Linked DNA regions of Sus scrofa. The protein of the gene in region 1 interacts with the protein of each later gene in a pairwise test. Links are inferred from orthologs where the notes say so. Each region holds a gene or a part of one and is shown on either strand. Other genes may lie near its edges.

Region 1 (3,238 bases):
CTCATTTCACTTTGAGGTTTTTGGTCATCCTTTATCTTCTATTTTTGAAAAGCATATTCAAATTAGGTGAAAGGAAACAAAGGTAAATTTGGAAAAAAGGTTTCAGTGTTCAGGTTTTATAATTCCTATGTTGCTTTTTAACACAGAAGGGAATGTATCCTTGCAAAGACATTTCAATGATCAATACAGAAATAATTTATCTGTCTAAGAAGGAATCTTTTAAGAAGGGGACAAAGGATCAGGTAGTTCATTTGGAAAAATAATAAGAATATAAACATCACATGGAAGATTTAGGCATTAATACCTGAATTAAGTTTAAAATTTCAGTTTCTAGGCAGGTATGACACCATTTCTTTCAAGATAAAATAGTAAGAGTGGGTGAAGATTTTCTACATTTCCCAGTGGATTTTCTAACAGTCTATAGGGAAACTATTAGGTATCATTTCATGTTTTTAATTTTGTCTTCATTTCAGAAGAAAAAGACCTGAGTGCTGATTTTCTTTTTTTTTAACTTCTTAAACTTTCACAACATTCAGAAGTTTTTCTGCATTGTGTCTTCGCTGATGTCTAAAAAGATTTGAGCTTTGACTATAGGATTTCCCACACTGAACGCATTCATAAGGTTTCTCCCCAGTATGGATTCTCTGATGATTAATAAGCCCAGAATTCTGGCTAAAAGCTTTTCCACATTCAAGACATTTGTAAGGTTTTTCTCCAGTATGGACTCTCTGGTGTTGCACAAGGATGGAACTCCTGCTGAATGCTTTCCCACATTCAACACATCCATAGGGTTTCTCCCCACTGTGGATTCTTTGATGAAGAATAAGGGCCGAGCCCTGACTGAAGTGTTTTCCACATTCATCACATATATGTTGTTTCTTTCGGGAGGGATTTCTCTTTCTTTCAAACCTGCCCTTGGGGAAACAGGCTTCTCCATACTTAAAAATCTGCGAAACACCTATATTGAGAGTGCCAGGAGCTTCATGAGATTCTACTGCTGAAGGAATCTCCTGCTTTGGAGCAAGTGCTCCATTTTCAGTCCTAGCATCATCATCTGAAATAAACAGAAAATGTAAATATCACTCATTTCCTATTCTGGGAGCAAAGAAACCTGAAGAAAAATTTTTAAAAAATGAACTAGAAGTACATGGCTTGCATATGTCTAGAAACAGCACTCCGAAAACTGATAAGGTTGCCTACTCTCAAAAAAGAATTTAATGAAGTGAGAACATAACATATGAGGGGATAAAAAGTTACGTACTAATAAAAGAGGTAATACAAGCAAGTTATTTATACAGTGATAGTCGGAAACCAAAGGGCAGAAAAACAGCAGATTCTAAGACTGTTGGAGAGACAGTCAAAGTGATGCAGCCAGATCTGGAGAAAAACAAAACTGGCCATTAGGAAATCATTTTAATATTCTTTTGCTCTAAAAAAAATGGAGAAATTATATCAAAATACAATGGTGTAAATAATAACCAATCTGTCATAAAGTGATTATTTCTGAAATGAGCAAAACAAAACACTTCACAGCCAAGATTATACTAAAAGGAGAATATAGGAAGGGTCCTGTCAAGAAGAAGCTGAAGGTAAGCTGGGAGCATCCTATGTTAATTCAGGACAAGACAGGTACAAATTCAATGCACCTTTAATAACCAAATGTCTTCCTGTAAAAGCAGCTTGCCAAATTTGGTATTTGTCATGTACTCAAGATGAACTATTACTTCTAAGCCTCAGCTAGTTGTGTCCAGTGAAAGAACAGCCTAAATTACCACCCTGAGGTACCATCACCACCTGTAGGCAGGCACTGGTATGACTTTCCTGAAACTTCAAGCTTTGAAGAATAAACAGTTACTAAAGGGTGAGCAGCAATGCTCAGAAAAGTTGTCAACAGTAAGCAAGTCTATAATAAATGATTAGGAAAGGGATGATCAGGGGCCCAGGAACTTCGGCATGCTGCTTAGGGTGGCAAAAAAAAAGAAAGGGAGGAAGGGAGGGAGGGAGAAAGGGATAGTCAGGAAAGAAGGCTGAGAGAGACAATGAGGAGTTACAGGGAATTAGTGAGGTCTGAAGACCTTGAATGGAGGTCTTCAGAGAGAGAATTGAGCTCCCAAGTGTGGTAGAGACCAGACAGCTAAAGCGAGGCTATTTAAAAAGAGGTGGGAATTATTATTACTATTATTTTAAATGGCCACATCTGCAGATATGGAAATTCTCAGGCTAAGGATCAAATCACAACCACAACTGCAACTGCCGGCCTACACCACAGCCAAGGCAACGCTGGATCCTTAATCCACTGAGTGAGGCCAGGGATCAAACCTGCATCCTCGAGGATATTAGTTGGCTTCTTCACCAAATGAGCCATAAATGAAACTGGGAATTTTTCTAAAGTTCAGGCAGGGGAGAAGTTTTCCACCTAGGAAGATGCCACCTCCAACATCCAAGGAGAGCAATTCCTAAACTAGACTGCACAGAAGAATGTCCCATAGAAGATGTAAAACTGCAGATTCTCAGCAAACTTCAGCCCCACCTCAGAAGTTCTGATTCCCAAGCACTGTGCCCCTCAGAGATGAGCCTACTCAGAGCTCACTCTGAGGCATGCTAGCATTGTCTCCTCAGGGAATGATTCCCAAATAGTCTCAAACAAAATTTCATTTTAATTTATGTAATTATGAAAAAGAAATCCAGCAGTTTTAGGAATATATGGGGTTGTGTCAAAAATAAATAAGTATGTGGCATTAACTGCCAAGATATTGGGAAAGACTAGCCTCGACGAATTATGACCTTTCTATTTAATTTTTCTGTACTTAAAGCATATTATAGCTGGAAGGCAATTTTTCGTTTAAATATTTAGAACAGGTGAAGAATTCTACCCAGGCATCATTTCTACAAAAGAAGCTTCTTAGGGGAAAAAAAATGACTCCAGATAGGATTTGGGGGGAAAAAAACCCAAAAACTAAAAATTCAGAAAAAAACCTTAGTGATAAACAACAAACCAAAAAATTAGATTTGAAGAAGTTATCAGGAGGACTAGGCAGGAGAGTGAAAGGATGTGAAACAGACGGCAAAAAAAAGCAATACTGCATGCAAAATGGAAAGATCTGGTCTACAGGTGGGTGCTGGCTCAGAGTAAGGCAAATGTTAGCCTGAAATGGGCGGGTCTTCAAAGAAACAGGGAGAAGAGAAAAAGGCTGATGATGATGTTAATGTTGAGGAATTAAAGACTAAGGTAAGAAAA
Region 2 (3,500 bases), on another chromosome or scaffold:
AACTTTTCACTCTTGAGATTCAAAAGTCCAGAATCCAGGGCTGACCAGCTTGGAAAGTTGGGTTTAATGTCTCTTTTGGTCCAGTTCTTCTCTGGGACACTTGACACTTTTAGCCGTTTGGAGGCAGGCTGGGTTTCTGGCTCATTATCCTCTTCCACATCTGAGTCACCAGAAAATGCGAGGCCTTGGAGTAGTTCACTCACTCGAGCTTTGTCTTTTTTTCTCCCTTTTCGAGTAATGTCTCCTGCAGCATATTCCAAGGATGAGACGTGCATCCGAGCCCACAAGTCGCCTGGGTGACGGTCCTTCAGAGTGTTCAAACGCACAACTGTCCTTTCAACAGGGACAGAAATTCCACAAGGGGCCTGGGGTGTGCAATCTCTGGGAAAGAAAAAAGGTATGCTATAAAAATTCTCAGTCTTCTTCACTGATACAGGATAAATCCACTCATACCTAAGCATTCTTTTGTGGGGAATACTTACTTCTTACTTCTCATGGTTCCATGGGGAGGACTTTGGCCAGACTGAACATTTCTAACCTTGCCCCACTTCCCACTTAACTAACTGCTGAATCTGGGAGAAGGGACTGGGCTGTCCTCTTTCAGAGCAAGTTGCAGACATTGCCTTTTTGCCACAGAAAAACCTATGGATCAGAAAAACCTATGGATCAGAAAAACCTATGGATCAGAAAAACCTATGGGGGTGGGGTCGGTGGGGAGGGAAGGTCTGCTGTCACTATGCATCCATGCCTTTGAGTTATCAGTCTAGCTTGTGTAAGTCATAAAACTGAGGCTTCCAGAATCATCTGTTTTACTCCTGTGTCTCTATCAATTGGTTCTGATTTGGACAAGGAAATGGGTTATTTACTGAGCCCCTCACCTCTCACAGAATTTTTGAATATGGACGGATTTAGCCTCTCCTAGTTCTGCATTCATCTGGTTGATGCACCACTCTGGAGAGAAACAAAACAGAAACTCAAACTTACTGCCCTTGAACCAATTTTTATGGGGTTTACAAGGAAGCTGGCCAAAGATACTAAGATGAAAAAAGTATTGTTTTACACAAATTTCTTTTTTAATTTTAGAAATTTGCATTTACTAGTATGCTATTGGTAAATGGTCTAATTTTAGAAGACATGAGGAGAGAACACAGTGGGGAAAGTATGTTGTAATATAATTTACATTACATATACTTATTTGCTTAGAGAATTTATCATCCTGAGTGTCTTTAATGTTTGTATGTATGAGCCATTCGACATATCCATCTTAGAGTTCTCAAACATCTTCAACTTCAAGGACTGTCCCTGAATCCTGTCACTACACTGAACTCTCCACTACTGGAAAACTAAACTCACTCTCTAGCCCCAATTTCTTTTCTGTCTTTTTTTTTTTTTTTTTGTCTTTTCTAGGGCCACACCTGTGGCATATGGAGTTTCCCAGGCTAGGGGTCCAATCGGAACTGTAACCGCCAGTCTACACCACAGCCACAGCATCTCGGGATCCAAGCTGCATCCACAGCTCATGGTAACACCAGATCCTTAACCCACTGAGCAAGGCCAGGGATCGAACCTGCAACCTCATAGTTCGTAATCAGACTCACTAACCACTGAGCCACGATGGGAACTCTAGCCCCACTTTCTTTTCACTCTAGGCTCCTTACACCTCTGTCCCACAATAGCTGTTCTATCTCCTCTGACTCCTCCATTCCCTCCTACTTTTACCTTCCTTCCCATTCCATCTAGATCCCATGATCCATCACTTTAGTCCATCTCTTGCCAGGATCATCAACCACCCTGGACCAGCAAAATTCAATACCAAATCAACAGCATCCTTGGTCTTCTTTATTCCTCAACCAGGAGTGAGTACTGCCAGAGAAATCACATGACTAGGCAAGCTGGCGTCGCTCAAAATGTTGGTCTCCCTAGTTAATAGTTCCCAAAAATCCTTCTCATTTCTTCTTGTGCCTTTCTTCCCTGTTCCCTACAACAGGCATTGCATCACTCTTCTCACAGCTGCTACCCAAGTTCTTGGTATTTCCAAACATAACCTCTTTTCCCATTCCAAAGAGGACCCAGAATTTTTCATGCAAGAACTTACTCTTCAAAACCTTTTTCTGTGGCTCCTCTGACTCTCCTAGTTCTTCTCCTAACCTCTCCAGGTACTTGCATTTTTTTTCTGTCTCTCTCCGATGCTCCTTAGCTAGTAAATTCCTGCTTACTCATCAGGTCTCGTTTCAAATGTTACCTCTTCTGGGATGCCTTCTCCTCAGACCTCAGCAACTTTATGGAGGATTTCACTTCTCTTCTTAAGCTTCAAGCATGTCTCATTTAACTGAGATTACGCTCCCTGTTTCCCTAAGATGAACAAATGTCAATATGGAGAATGCTTATCCTCTGCTGTTTCCTTCCTCTTTTCTCAAGTTTCCAAGGAGTTAATGGCCTCACCAGAAACCAACCCTCTGCTCATGATCCGGTCCCTCTCTTTCTGGTTTCGGAGCATCTATGCTACACAGCTCCAGAACCAACACTCATTAAGTGCCTACTACTATCTTTCACCTGTCCTTCATCATCAGCTACTTTCCTTCTGATTCTTGTTCAGGACTCTAATAAAGGTTGAAAATATTCGCACTGTCTTAAGTCCTCCTCCAGGTCTGATGTTTCTTTTTCTTTTGTTTTTTAGGGCCGCACCTGCGACACATGGAGGTTCCCAGGCTAGGGGCCTAATTGGAGCTATAGCTGCCGACATACACCACAGCCATAGCCATGCCAGATCTGAGCCACATCTGCAATCTCACAACAATGCCGGATCCTTAACCCACTGAGAGGGGTCAGGGATTGAACCCGCAACCTCATGGTTCTAGTTGGATTCGCTTTCGCTGTGCCACTATGGTAACTCCTGAGTTTCTTTCTTACTCATTACAGCAACCTCACCTGCAGTGCTCACTCTCTTGTCTAAATCCTCTGCCTTCTCTTTTTTCTGGCTTCTCTAACTATAGCCCCACAAAGACATAAGGGAGTCAGGGGAAGAGTGATCAAGCAGGGTAGACTGAGTCAGGATAGGATTCTTGGAGACAACTTACAAACTGAAGATTTTTTTTTTTTTTATTACCCTTTTAGAGCCAAACCTGGGGCACATGGAGGTTCCCAGGCCTAGGGGTCAAAATGGAGCTGTAGCTGCCGGCCTACACCACAGCCAGAGCAATGCCAGATCTGAGCTACGTCTGTGACCTACACCATAGCTCATGGCAACACCAGATCCTTAACCCACCAAGAGAGGCCAGGGATTGAACCTGTGTCCTCATGGATACTAGTCAGATTTGTTTCTGCTGAGCTACAACAGGAACTCCCAAACTGAAGATTTTATATAACTATGATAAAGTGACAGGTCTCCTTCTTGGCACGAGGTCTCCTATGATCACAGAAGTGAGTGATACTCTTCCTGTATTATTCCTGGGAAGTAGGCTTTTACCAACTTGTTTCTCTTGTTCCATTCCAATTTCTTC

What was found.
Region 2: the proteins of ZNF24 (region 1) and PGBD1 interact in binary tests that used the Homo sapiens proteins (3 or more experiments, as listed by UniProt). The two-hybrid records come from large-scale screens. The link is inferred for Sus scrofa from reciprocal best matches to the Homo sapiens genes ZNF24 and PGBD1.

The regions. Positions count from the first base shown.
Region 1 is NC_010448.4:119,160,967-119,164,204, forward strand, and holds the end of ZNF24 (zinc finger protein 24), read right to left. Parts: intron 1,378-3,238; coding exon of another isoform or gene 1,358-1,377; exon of another isoform or gene 1,067-1,357; intron 1,055-1,066; coding exon 516-1,054; 3' UTR 501-515; downstream 1-500. UniProt on the Homo sapiens protein: Transcription factor required for myelination of differentiated oligodendrocytes. Required for the conversion of oligodendrocytes from the premyelinating to the myelinating state.
Region 2 is NC_010449.5:22,150,778-22,154,277, reverse strand, and holds part of PGBD1 (piggyBac transposable element-derived protein 1), read right to left. Parts: intron 382-3,500; coding exon 1-381.